Linked DNA regions of Saccharomyces cerevisiae S288C. Changing the gene in region 1 together with any one later gene gives a genetic interaction. Each region holds a gene or a part of one and is shown in the gene's direction. Other genes may lie near its edges.

Region 1 (7,557 bases):
GCTTCATATCATTCGTTCATTGCGTCAAATGAGATCCAAGAATCCAATGATCTTAACATAGAATCTGACCATGACTTCCAATCCGACATTGAACTACATCCTGAGCAACCGAGAAATGTCCTTTCAAAAGCTGTGAGTCCAACCGATTCCACACCTCCGTCAACTCATACTGAAGATTCGAAACGTGTTTCTAAAACCAATATTCGCGCACCCAGAGAAGTTGACCCCAACATATCTGAATCTAATATTCTTCCATCAAAGAAGAGATCTAGCACCCCCCAAATTTCCAATATCGAGAGTACCGGTTCGGGTGGTATGCATAAATTAAATGTTCCTTTACTTGCTCCCATGTCCCAATCTAACACACATGAGTCGTCGCACGCCAGTAAATCTAAAGATTTCAGACACTCAGACTCGTACAGTGAAAATGAGACTAATCATACAAACGTACCAATATCCAGTACGGGTGGTACCAACAACAAAACTGTTCCGCAGATAAGTGACCAAGAGACTGAGAAAAGGATTATACACCGTTCACCTTCAATCGATGCTTCTCCACCGGAAAATAATTCATCGCACAATATTGTTCCTATCAAAACGCCAACTACTGTTTCTGAACAGAATACCGAGGAATCTATCATCGCTGATCTCCCACTCCCTGATCTACCTCCAGAATCTCCTACCGAATTCCCTGACCCATTTAAAGAACTCCCACCGATAAATTCTCGTCAAACTAATTCCAGTTTGGGTGGTATTGGTGACTCTAATGCCTATACTACTATCAACAGTAAGAAAAGATCATTAGAAGATAATGAAACTGAAATTAAGGTATCACGAGACACATGGAATACTAAGAATATGCGTAGTTTAGAACCTCCGAGATCGAAGAAACGAATTCACCTGATTGCAGCTGTAAAAGCAGTAAAATCAATCAAACCAATACGGACAACCTTACGATACGATGAGGCAATCACCTATAATAAAGATATTAAAGAAAAAGAAAAATATATCGAGGCATACCACAAAGAAGTCAATCAACTGTTGAAGATGAAAACTTGGGACACTGACGAATATTATGACAGAAAAGAAATAGACCCTAAAAGAGTAATAAACTCAATGTTTATCTTCAACAAGAAACGTGACGGTACTCATAAAGCTAGATTTGTTGCAAGAGGTGATATTCAGCATCCTGACACTTACGACTCAGGCATGCAATCCAATACCGTACATCACTATGCATTAATGACATCCCTGTCACTTGCATTAGACAATAACTACTATATTACACAATTAGACATATCTTCGGCATATTTGTATGCAGACATCAAAGAAGAATTATACATAAGACCTCCACCACATTTAGGAATGAATGATAAGTTGATACGTTTGAAGAAATCACTTTATGGATTGAAACAAAGTGGAGCGAACTGGTACGAAACTATCAAATCATACCTGATACAACAATGTGGTATGGAAGAAGTTCGTGGATGGTCATGCGTATTTAAAAACAGTCAAGTGACAATTTGTTTATTCGTAGATGATATGGTATTGTTTAGCAAAAATCTAAATTCAAACAAAAGAATTATAGAGAAGCTTAAGATGCAATACGACACCAAGATTATAAATCTAGGCGAAAGTGATGAGGAAATTCAATATGACATACTTGGCTTAGAAATCAAATATCAAAGAGGTAAATACATGAAATTAGGTATGGAAAACTCATTAACTGAGAAAATACCCAAATTAAACGTACCTTTGAATCCAAAAGGAAGAAAACTTAGCGCTCCAGGTCAACCAGGTCTTTATATAGACCAGGATGAACTAGAAATAGATGAAGATGAATACAAAGAGAAGGTACATGAAATGCAAAAGTTGATTGGTCTAGCTTCATATGTTGGATATAAATTTAGATTTGACTTACTATACTACATCAACACACTTGCTCAACATATACTATTCCCCTCTAGGCAAGTTTTAGACATGACATATGAGTTAATACAATTCATGTGGGACACTAGAGATAAACAATTAATATGGCACAAAAACAAACCTACCAAGCCAGATAATAAACTAGTCGCAATAAGCGATGCTTCATATGGTAACCAACCATATTACAAGTCACAAATTGGTAACATTTTCCTACTCAACGGAAAAGTGATTGGAGGAAAGTCGACAAAGGCTTCGTTAACATGCACTTCAACTACAGAAGCAGAAATACACGCAGTCAGTGAAGCTATACCGCTATTGAATAACCTCAGTCACCTTGTGCAAGAACTTAACAAGAAACCAATTATTAAAGGCTTACTTACTGATAGTAGATCAACGATCAGTATAATTAAGTCTACAAATGAAGAGAAATTTAGAAACAGATTTTTTGGCACAAAGGCAATGAGACTTAGAGATGAAGTATCAGGTAATAATTTATACGTATACTACATCGAGACCAAGAAGAACATTGCTGATGTGATGACAAAACCTCTTCCGATAAAAACATTTAAACTATTAACTAACAAATGGATTCATTAGATCTATTACATTATGGGTGGTATGTTGGAATAGAAATCAACTATCATCTACTAACTAGTATTTACATTACTAGTATATTATCATATACGGTGTTAGAAGATGACGCAAATGATGAGAAATAGTCATCTAAATTAGTGGAAGCTGAAACGCAAGGATTGATAATGTAATAGGATCAATGAATATAAACATATAAAATGATGATAATAATATTTATAGAATTGTGTAGAATTGCAGATTCCCTTTTATGGATTCCTAAATCCTTGAGGAGAACTTCTAGTATATTCTGTATACCTAATATTATAGCCTTTATCAACAATGGAATCCCAACAATTATCTCAACATTCACATATTTCTCAAAGCATATATGTAGTATATATACATATACATATATATATTTATATAGGTTTGGGAACCTATGTTTTTTATTGTACCAAACGCATCCCTCTTCAATAATCTTCGAAAAAAAAGTGCACAACAAGCGGGAAAATCTGTGTAAAGCTGTATAAGTGATCTGTACAAAAACTACGAAGAAAAGAAATAATACCAGGGAGGAACTACCAATTGTAACCATTAACCTTAGTTATGAGATCATCTCTTCTAACCCTTCCAAAAGTATGTTTCCGGCAAACGCTATAAATTTTTGTTAACTTGTAAGGATTCGAAGCAAAGCACAATTTTACTAACCTGTTCTCAAACATATTTTTTTTTCATAGTCTTTTTTGGGGTTTATGCCGCTATACCTTGCAGTTGAGATTGTCTTAGGTATTTCCATTCTAAACAAATGCAGTGGTGCTTATGGTATTTTAGCATTGTTCACGGGTCATCCGTTGGATTTTATGCAATGGATAGCATATCTTTGGTCGGTATTTACATTAATCGTATTCTCACAAGGGCTGTATTTGATTCATAAGCCAAACTTGCTGGTATTTTCGCAAATCTGCGTACTTTATACAATCGATACCATTTCCACTTGTTTTTTTACTCTATGGTTTACCACGCAATGGTTCACCTTGGAAGACACTGCTAATATTGATGGAAATAATGCACTACAAAGTAACCCAATATCGACAGGTAAGCTGACAGAACGTGGTATTGATATAAGTAAACAAAGTGCAACTGAAAGCTACGAATATACCATGACTATTTTAATTACGTTGGTGTCATTGATATTCAGGTTCTACTTTAACTTCATTTTGGCATCTTTTGTTCAAGAATTGTTACACCACCCCAAATATTTAGTTGATAGGGATGACGTAGAACAAAACTTGAAAAACAAGCCTATTTGGAAAAGACTGTGGGCTAAGAGCCAAAAAGGTTGTTATAAGCTATGTAAGAATTTGTTAGAGTAAATAGTAAAATAAAGCCCTAGCGTTATAGCGTTTTACACTGATGAAGAAATGTTTCTATTCTGACATCATAAAATCATTCTCACTGATGCTATTGTCACTTTTCATCACGTGTGTATTTAAGTAGCTCTTACGTAATTTTGAAAAAAAAGGAAAAAGGAAACTATATAGCACGCAATTCCCTATTTGGTTGCAATTCAATTCCGTGAAACCCTTTTCTTTTCTAAAGTGATAATAAAGTAACTTTGCAATATAATCAGGTCGCAAATATACCCACAGATAATAATCTACCATGCCTGCTACGTTAAAGAATTCTTCTGCTACATTAAAACTAAATACTGGTGCCTCCATTCCAGTGTTGGGTTTCGGCACTTGGCGTTCCGTTGACAATAACGGTTACCATTCTGTAATTGCAGCTTTGAAAGCTGGATACAGACACATTGATGCTGCGGCTATCTATTTGAATGAAGAAGAAGTTGGCAGGGCTATTAAAGATTCCGGAGTCCCTCGTGAGGAAATTTTTATTACTACTAAGCTTTGGGGTACGGAACAACGTGATCCGGAAGCTGCTCTAAACAAGTCTTTGAAAAGACTAGGCTTGGATTATGTTGACCTATATCTGATGCATTGGCCAGTGCCTTTGAAAACCGACAGAGTTACTGATGGTAACGTTCTGTGCATTCCAACATTAGAAGATGGCACTGTTGACATCGATACTAAGGAATGGAATTTTATCAAGACGTGGGAGTTGATGCAAGAGTTGCCAAAGACGGGCAAAACTAAAGCCGTTGGTGTCTCTAATTTTTCTATTAACAACATTAAAGAATTATTAGAATCTCCAAATAACAAGGTGGTACCAGCTACTAATCAAATTGAAATTCATCCATTGCTACCACAAGACGAATTGATTGCCTTTTGTAAGGAAAAGGGTATTGTTGTTGAAGCCTACTCACCATTTGGGAGTGCTAATGCTCCTTTACTAAAAGAGCAAGCAATTATTGATATGGCTAAAAAGCACGGCGTTGAGCCAGCACAGCTTATTATCAGTTGGAGTATTCAAAGAGGCTACGTTGTTCTGGCCAAATCGGTTAATCCTGAAAGAATTGTATCCAATTTTAAGATTTTCACTCTGCCTGAGGATGATTTCAAGACTATTAGTAACCTATCCAAAGTGCATGGTACAAAGAGAGTCGTTGATATGAAGTGGGGATCCTTCCCAATTTTCCAATGAGCGCGCTACATTACAGTTAATGCCTCCAGCAACCTGTAGTGCTTCTTTAAACCGATCCGATACAGCTGAAACAAACATTGATTTTACTAATTTTCATATAATATATACACATATATCGAATGATAATGCAAAATATAATTTAATGAAATTGGAAATACTCGGAAAATTTATCATTATCCTTTTCTTCTTTTGAACGTAAACTTCGGACCGTCGTCATCGTCGTCGTCGCCATCACCGTTATTAGAAGCCCCAAAAGAGCCACGTGATCTACTAGTTGCGCTTCTACTGTGTCTACTTTGCTTGGAACATTCTTCTGACAAGTTTGGCCGTAAGTTCATTTCCTTCACCACAAAAAGATTACGATTATTTTCTCTGTGATTTAGTCTATCGCTTTTATCATCAATATCACCCAGATCATCTTCATCAGTAATAAAAATTTTGTTTTTTAGTGGTTGAACGCTGGCTGCAGTACCTGAACAACGAGAAAAAGAAAACGAATCTTCTTCTCCTTCATTTGAACTATCCTCATTCGTGAATCTGTTTAGAGCTTGAGATCTTTTCTGGATAGTGTTTGAGTTTATATTATCGGACATAAATGTATTCGATCCAAATCTTTCCATCTCCGTCAAAGCAAACATATCTTCGTTTTCTTCTGTGCCCCATTTTGTAGTTGTATCCTTTTTGGAGTATTTTTTTAACGGAACATAATTTCTAGTGATTAAAAAGGCTGCATTTCGTATAAAATCTGAGCTTTGAGTGTTATTTTTACCCTCTTCTTTGTGCGCCTTTGATTTTGGACGTACCTTGACAAAAGTCTTGAAATTCTTGCGTTTATGCCATTCTGGCTCCATTAGGCTATTTTCCCATTTTTCAGTTGTTCTGCTTGTTTTGTTTCCCTCACTATCAAATGATTTCCTCAGTAAATTGTTACTAGGTTCTACAATAGCCAAATTTTTTAGCTGATTAATAGCTTCCTCGCTCAACTCCTCATCCTTCAATTCAACAATGGTTGACTTAACTCTTTTGACCTCTCTATTTTTAGTTTCTTGAATAGCTTCAACAAATGCGTGCGGCGTACCAGATTTCTCTTTAATAGATAACTCTTTTACAGGTGACTTACAATTTTCTTGTAATGGAGATGAAATTTCTCGTGAATAATTAGAAAGTTTACGGATGTTTTTAGAGGGTTGCTCTATATTCTGGTGATGATTCACCCTAAAATTCTTAGTAACTTCAGCATCATCCATCGAATTCACAGCAGCTGTTTCATAGTCAGCGGAGTTCGAAGATATGGTTTGAGAGCCAATCCCTGCTACCTCCGGCAATGACGGCTGTGGTAACTTATGTGACTGTAGCGACTTATCCAACGAATCCTCACTCGTGTTCACAGTACCTAAGTTGGGGCTACTGACAATTATAGCACCAGGGCTACTGTGACCACTTTTCTTTCCAATATCTTCAGTCGGCTTTAGTGCGTTTTGAAGAAATGGGGCGTGCTTTTCATCTGCCTCTGCAATGTTGGGACTTGAAATGACAGTCTTTGATTCTGCGCCACAATTAAGTCTCTTAGCGTCAGTTAAAGACCTATTTTCTGATAGAGTCTTAGTACTCAAACCTCCAGCAAAAAAATCAAGACTATCGAGTGGTAGTACTCTACGTCTATTTAATTTTCGCTTCTTCGAGACTACTGGACTAGCTTCAACTTCAGGTGCACGAGATGTTTTCAAAATAGTAGACATTCCTTCAGAAATTTGATCAAATTTACCGTTATCTAGAGTTCTTGAAGATGCACCCTTCATATTAATCACTGCGCTTAAGGTGCCATCTATTATTGATGTTAACATCGTTTTGATAGTACATAGAATTTTCCCATTTTCTTTCTTATCTGTAGTTGTCAAAATCAGGTATTCTGTTGATGCTTCCAAGCTGTCAACATATTTATATAAACTATCAATGTTGTCAAATGCAAATAAATTTATATTGAACGTCCGCAGGAGAGATGATAGACGTGGTTCACTTTTGATAGTAGTTAACACTCTGATATTATTCAGCCTCATAAACTTCGAAAGCAAAATATTTGGATCAAAATCAAAAACATTGTACTCCGGATTACTAATCATATCGTTCCACATTTCATCAAATTTTAAATTAGTTTTAGATGTGGGAAGAAGAGTATTACACAATTCCATCAGAAACCGTGATTTTTTCATGGGTATAGTACTAACAAGGGCATACAATTCCCGTATGCTGTTGTCCTCGCTCTTTGGGTAATCGCTAATCATCAGATTAGCGGGAATATCATTAATAGAAATCTCAGTGGAGATACCATATTCAGAAAGCATCGTCCTGAATTGTGTCAAATGAGGAGGAATGTTCCAGACTTCATTTATCCATTCGAACTCTATACGAATAGGAGTTGTACCCAGTTCAATTATTGTGGACTTTAAAACGTCC
Region 2 (7,407 bases), on another chromosome or scaffold:
ATTGCCAAAAAAAGGATAGCCTTTTATAAGATTACTTTAGTTCAAAGAAGAGACCAGAAAGAGGAATACTGGCCATAATTATAGTGCAGAGACGCAATGACAAACAAATCTAGCCTGAAGAACAATAGGAAAGGGGTTGCTTCGAATACTCTCTCTGGAGCTGAGCAGGCCAATATAGGTTCATCGGCAATGCCTGACACAAATTCTACGGGACCATTTTCTTCCGTTTCTAGTCTGGACACTCCTGTAGTAAGGAAATCAACTAGTCCCACTGGTTCACAAACTAAGTCAATCATGAATGCTAGCGGAACTTCTGGGGCAGTTGTAAGTAATACACCAGAGCCAGGGTTAAAAAGGATACCAACTGTTACATTCAGCGATCCAAAGTTGGGTAGTCTCAGGTCGGATGTGGAGCAAACTCCACCTAACCAGGTGGCCAGACAGTCCAGCGAAAAGAAAGCAACGTCTGTACACATCGCAGCGGAGGGTGCAAATCAAGGAAGAAACTTGAAAGACATAAATACAAAAGTACCAAAAGATGGCGAGGCTTCTGCTTCTTCTTTTTCGACTCCAACCTCTATTCTCTCCAATGCTGATATGGGGAATAACATATCCAGCCTGCTGGCTAAAAAGCTAAGTTTCACCGGTGGAACAGATTCTATTTTAAACTCTGACAATAGTTCCGATAGCCCCAGAAAGGAGCACCCACATTTCTACGTGGAAGATCCTTTACACACCCCATCAGTTAGATCAAGGTCTAACAGTACTAGTCCTCGCCCCTCTGTGGTAGTGAATACATTTAACCCCATCAACATTGAACGAGAGGGCTCCATATCAAAGACTGGAGAGCCCACATTGTTGGAGTCTGTCTTGGAAGAAGCAATGTCTCCCAATGCAGTCTCAAATCCCTTGAAGAGAGAAAATATTATGACCAATATGGATCCAAGGCTTCCCCAAGATGACGGCAAGCTACACGTTCTTTTTGGGGCAACAGGTTCTTTGTCTGTTTTCAAACTCAAGCACATGATCAGAAAATTAGAAGAAATTTACGGAAGGGACAAAATATGCATACAAGTTATACTAACTAACTCAGCAACCAAATTTTTTGCAATGAAGTATATGAGGAAAAATAAGAAACAACACAATAGTATCGATACTTCTTTCAACAGCACCAATTCTAATGCTGGCAATATAACTGGTAACAAGAAAAAAGTAGCCTCTCTTGAAAAATTTAGCATTCAGAAGACGTCTTCAAACTCAGCGGCTTCTCAGACAAATAATAAACAGGAGGAAGAAAAACAAATGGCCTCTACTACTGGATTTCCTTCGACACTTGGTGGTAGTCGTACGTACAGCAACTCTTCAAACGTTGTATCGCAACATCCTCAAATTGAACTGCCAGCACATATACAATTTTGGACAGACCAAGACGAGTGGGATGTATGGCGACAACGAACTGATCCTGTATTACACATAGAACTACGTCGTTGGGCAGATATACTAGTTGTCGCACCATTAACCGCAAACACGTTGGCCAAGATTGCCCTTGGTTTATGTGACAACCTTTTGACAAGTGTAATAAGGGCATGGAATCCAACGTTTCCCATATTCCTAGCGCCTTCAATGGGTAGCGGTACGTTCAATTCCATAATGACTAAAAAACATTTTCGAATTATTCAAGAAGAGATGCCTTGGGTAACTGTATTTAAACCCTCAGAAAAAGTCATGGGCATAAACGGTGACATCGGGTTAAGTGGGATGATGGATGCAAATGAGATTGTTGGCAAGATAGTCGTCAAACTAGGTGGTTATCCCGATGTTTCTGCGGGAAAGGAAGAAGAAGAGGATGAAGATAACGATGAGGAGGATGATAATAAGAAGAACGATACTGGTGGTAAAGATGAAGATAATGACGACGACGACGATGACGATGATGATGATGACGATGATGACGACGACGACGACGACGACGACGACGACGACGACGACGATGATGATGATGACGACGATGATGACGACGATGATGACGACGACGACGACGACGATGAAGATGACGAAGACGAAGATGAAGACGATGAAGGAAAAAAGAAAGAAGATAAAGGAGGGCTACAGCGATCTTAAATAGGACTAATTTCATTATTGTAAAACTTTTGAACTATATATATCTTTACATAGAATAAATTTGCATTAATCACTGATAACCAGAAGAGAAGGCTAAAAATAGGCAAGTAGGACACTTAACTCATTTTCCAAAGGGAGTTTTATGTCTCATAGTTAGCGCTTACGATGCTGCGGAGGTGCGTCGTCACTCTATCGGATGTTCATTCTGAGGGAAAGGGAGTGGTTCAAATCCGATTTAACCTTGCCAGCTTATCGCAAAGCGGGTGAGATCAAATGCTCCACAGCTCTGCGGTTCGTTTCACCTTTCTGTTTTCTGCGAGCTTCGGCCCTGTCAGGGAAAAAAAGAAAGAAGGGGGCGGTGGCAAAGACTGCATCGGCCCAGAAGCAAAGAAGATATAAAAGGGAAATACTTGCCACCGAAGTCTTAGACTTTGCATAAGAGATATTCTCGCCTTTCCCGCTTGAAGAGTTCCTGACTCTATCATACATCTTGGATAAAAGGATCAAGCAGCCTATCCGCTAAACCGCTATTTATTCTGCTTTACTGATTCATTTACATCAAGTGAAGCACAAAACTATCAAAATCACCAAAAGAATAGAAACTAAAAATGTCTGATATAAACGAAATCGAAATTCCATCCAGAAAGGATGAAATTAGACAAGTTACTCCCAAGGATCCCATGCATGAGATCGAGGATAAAAGCACATACCACGCTAAGATAAAGAAATCAGATTCCGGGACCGTCCTGGGTGCTATACCGTTGAATTCAAGGTCTTCTAGTAACTCTAGCGTGACATCGACGGGTCAGAGCAGTAGGCGGGTGACTAAGAAAACGACCAAGAAGAAAAAGAAGAATGCTTGTTATTTCGATACCTGTTCAAGTGCGGCTTCGAAATTCATCGGTGACTGTAATTTTTGCAAAGGTCACTTTTGCTCGAAACACAGATTAATGGAAAACCATGCTTGTAATGGCTTAACGAGCTGCAAAGAACAGCTACATCAAAGAAACGCTGATAAGCTAGAAGCTGAACAAACTAAGGCTCCAAAGATACAAATTTAAACACCTATCATGGTTAAATCATACACACATCTAATTCACTGGGAACTGCATTGTAACGTCTAATCGGCATTGATGTTACACAAGGGAAAAGAACGCTTTTGATGCATTTCTCTACAAAATAACATGTATAAATTACTTGAATGGTCTCTTCGTTTTTTTTTTTTTTTTCTTCATCTATCCTGACTCATCAAGAGAGACCGTTCATTGTAACCACTTACTCTTATATAACGTATAACTAATAATATTAATAATCAAGAAGTGGTGCTTAACCTTTGAAACGCCTTACGCAAGAACCTAATCTGTTGGTTGGTCTTTGGTTTTTCGTTTCTTTTTTTGTACGGGGAAGAAAGGGAGAAAACGACTTTTTTTTTATGTTTACAATTCATTTTTAAGCGTTAAGGCAATCGAAATATAAACAAATGAAAGCTGGAGTAACTTCACCATTTCTTTTTCCATTTCATGAGGTTGTAGCGGAAAAACAATTTTCCGCATATATCGTTTTGCGACCGAAAGAGGTAAAAAAAAAAGTGCGAGAAAAAGAACTCTTTTTTTCGTCATTTGAAATGTTGCATATTTTGAAAAATTTCAATATAAACTAGTTTTTAAATAATAGAACAATTGTAGGCACCCAAAAGAAAAAGAATTGAAGAAAAAAGGAGAACAGTCCAAGAAAGTAATCGTACAGAAATGGCTAAAAGACCCTTAGGTTTAGGTAAACAAAGTAGAGAAAAGAAAAGAAAGGTGGAAAGTGTCGAAAAGAAGAGCGATGAACCTTCCAGAGAATCCACACCTGTGAGAAGTCAAATGAGTGTTGAGCTTGACGATGATGCTGATTTAGATGACGAATTAGCTCAGCTGAAAGGACTGTGGTCTAAATATTTTCACTCTGACAGAGACGACGAATATGTTTTAAATGGAATCGTTCACGAATGTGACAGATTATTGCGTCTTTCTGAAGAAGATAAAGAGATTAAGAAGACGCTGAACGATATTTTCCATGGTATATATGCTCTGGCTTTATCTGAATTGACTATTTTCAAGGCAGGCGATGAGGAAGCCACTGAAGAAAAGAGAAAAAAAGATGTATCCTCATTTTTTGAAAGTGCTATCGAAAGAGTCGAATTAGGTCTTTCGCATTTCCCTGAATCCCAATTTCTAAAACTAGTTTTAGCAAAGATAATTTTCCAAAGGATTCCGTTGGAATATATTTCCAATCTCCATTTGAAATCGAAGGATAAAAAACTTGATCTTGTAGGACAGCTTGAACATGGTAAGAAGCATTTTTCAATTTATGAAAACGATACTGAATTTACTTTTGAAATCCTACAAATGGTGAATGACTTATTGGACATCGTCGAGAATTTTGGTCGCGAACAATCTATTCAAGAGGGCATAGATAGCGATAATGAAGAGGAAGAGGAACTCATTGATATTGAGTTGGAACCAGAACACCCTGTATATCCCCTACAACAATCGCTAGAAGCGAATTACGAGTGGCTAAGAAACCATTTTGATAAATTGCTTGACAACACAAATACAGATGTGAAAATCTATGCATCAATAGCTAACACCCTAGGGGAACTATACCTAAAAAAAGCTGAAGAACCAAGTAAAGTTTTCTTAAGCCTACAGTACGATGATGGCGGTTCTGAAAAGGTTAGCGACAAGGAAGCCAAGAACGCCCAAGAAACCGCTTTGAAGCACACAAAAAAGGCTTTAGAATACTTGGAAAAGGCTAAACTGGAGGATGATCCGGACACCTGGGTTCAAGTCGCCGAAGCATATATTGACCTAGGTAACCTGCTTGACAATGAAAGTGCTGAACAAGAAGAAGCTTACAAAACCGCCGAAGAAATCTTAGGCAAAGCAAACAAGGCTTCTCATGGTAAATTTCAAGATGTCCTGGACAATTTCTTACAAGGCTGAGCGCATCCACGCTTCTTTTTTATTTTTACTCACTCCTTCTGTTGCCTTAAGTACTCTCAAAAATTACTATTTTTATCTAGTTTTATAGAAAAGCTAAAAGAAAGGCTATATTTATTAGAGCGCGTGTTGAAATATAGTCACAACTTATTTAATGAGTTAAACTTTTGGTTTCCTTTTAGGTTTTTTGGTGCTCAGCCTCGTCATCACCCAATAAAGAGTTTATTATCAATGGCTTCAGTGAAACAAACCAACAAAACTCTCCGAGAGGGCAATCCAGAGCATAGCACAATCTTTTACATCCGCGGAAGCATTCTTGCTCCGTCATATTTCCTTCCGGACTTCGCTCGGACTCTTTTTCCGCGGAAAGATATGGTCTCCGTCGGTCCTCTGTTTCCTATTATATTTGCGCACAGTGACAGTGCGGCAATTGATATGTCAGGGACCACTGGAAAACGACGTTGCCTAGTAGTTGTGGCAGCTCCGATAGTTGACATTCTCATTAGTAACCGAACTTCTTGCACCAAGTCCTGTGCGAGTGCTGCACGGCCATGCCTTGAGGGTTCTGTCGCCCCCTAGCTGTACGTAAGCATCCCCCGTAATTTTTCCGCAAATGTCGAAAAGCTCTTGACTTTTTCTCGCTATCTCGCTCTCTAAAAGGGAATAGGTGTGATTCTGATCGGTTGTACCCACGGAGCTCTAATTTGCCCTGTTTATTTTTCTTTGGTGTGCCTCCCATTTTCACCTAAAACAGTTGAGCTGATGGGCAAAACACTATATAAGGTTTATTATTTGCAGTCGACCCCAGAATCAATAGAAATAAGAAGAGTTTTCCTTGTCGCTTGCACAGTAAAGTATTTTTTTTTTTTCTTTCAGTAGTAGACTTAAAATTCATTACTTTTCTACGTAAACTCTGGTTTCCTAGCAGTTCAAGCAATAGTATACTAAGGGCGTAACTAATTACTGCTGGTTGTTCTAAAATAGATTTCTCACAGTACTTTTTTTCTGATTATAGACGTTGAGAAATTCAAAATGTCCAACGCAACAAATAATACGTTAGGCAGTCTTTTGCCACAGTTAGAAGCAGCAGCTAACAGTAATTCCCTTTATGGTGGTATGGTACCGAACCTTCGTTTTAATATCACGATGATTGTCATTTGGGGTATACTACTGACAATACATGTCGTACAGTTACTGATGCGCCAATACTGGTTTTCAATCGCTTTTATATGCACAGGTATTTTGGAAGTTCTTGGATTTATAGGGAGGACGTGGTCGCATTCTAATGTCGCCGATATGGACGCTTTTCTTTTGAACATGATTTGTTTGACTATTGCACCAGTTTTCACAATGGGTGGTATTTATTATCAACTTGCAAAGCTTATAGAAGTATACGGCCACAGGTTCTCTTTATTGCCCTCTCCAATGGCGTATTCTTTTATTTTCATATGTTCCGATATCGTATCGCTTGTGGTGCAAGCTGTAGGCGGTGGCCTGTGTGGTGTGGCGGTCACAGATGGAACGTCCACAACAACCGGCAATCATGTTTTCATTGCTGGTTTGGCCATTCAAGTTGCATCGATGGCCATCTTTCTTATGTTATGGTTTCACTTCCTTTTCCGTATATATATATCGGTAAGATGGGAACACATAAATTCTAGACCTATCTCATTGAGCCTCTTAAAGATATCGCAAACAGAAGTTGATTATTTATACAGGGAAAAGTTCCATTTTTTGAGACTCGAACCTAAACGTTGGGTTTTTCATTATTTTAATCTGGCAATAACCGTTGCGGTACTAACCATTTTTACCCGTTGTTGTTACCGTTTGGCTGAATTAGTTGTCGGTTGGGATGGCTATCTGATCACACACGAGTGGTATTTTATTATCTTAGATGCATTAATGATGGCCATCGCTACGGTCACTTTGACCATCTTCCACCCTGGATTTGCGTTTAAAGGTAGAAGCACCTCGATTCCAATCACACCGGGCCATGTTGATCCTGAAACTTTACCACATACTGACGATGTTGAAGATATCTTAGATACTTCGGATTCAAAACAATTTGATATTGAAAAGGAGGAATTCCAAGCAAGCATGAAATACCCGATTAGCACCTTCAAACAATTCATGTCCAAAATAGCTAACTTGTTTTCCTCTAAAAAGAAGGCTAAACTTTAGTGATACGTAGAATTTGAATGTCAATCTGATCGTTCATATGCATTTTTCAATTCTTACTTTTTTTCTCGAAGTTCCCGACTATGTTCTGTTTATTTTTTCTCCTATTCAAAAGAACCGGACA

The links.
Region 2: mutations in YPR1 (region 1) and ETT1 together harm fitness more than expected from each alone (negative genetic interaction), as found in Saccharomyces cerevisiae (one large-scale study listed by BioGRID).

What each region holds. Positions count from the first base shown.
Region 1 is NC_001136.10:1,209,740-1,217,296, forward strand, and holds YPR1 (trifunctional aldehyde reductase/carbonyl reductase (NADPH)/glucose 1-dehydrogenase (NADP(+)) YPR1), read left to right. Parts: upstream 1-4,164; coding exon 4,165-5,103; downstream 5,104-7,557. Other genes in the region: MOR1 (Mor1p), read right to left, coding at 2,699-3,097; KEI1 (Kei1p), read left to right, coding at 3,109-3,138, 3,240-3,875; XRS2 (Xrs2p), read right to left, coding at 5,277-7,557. UniProt on the Saccharomyces cerevisiae protein: Aldehyde reductase with broad substrate specificity, catalyzing the NADPH-dependent reduction of aldehydes into the corresponding alcohols.
Region 2 is NC_001147.6:422,547-429,953, reverse strand, and holds ETT1 (Ett1p), read left to right. Parts: upstream 1-3,869; coding exon 3,870-5,108; downstream 5,109-7,407. Other genes in the region: phosphopantothenoylcysteine decarboxylase complex subunit VHS3, read left to right, coding at 97-2,121; TMC1 (Tmc1p), read left to right, coding at 2,730-3,182; phospholipid-translocating ATPase RSB1, read left to right, coding at 6,222-7,286.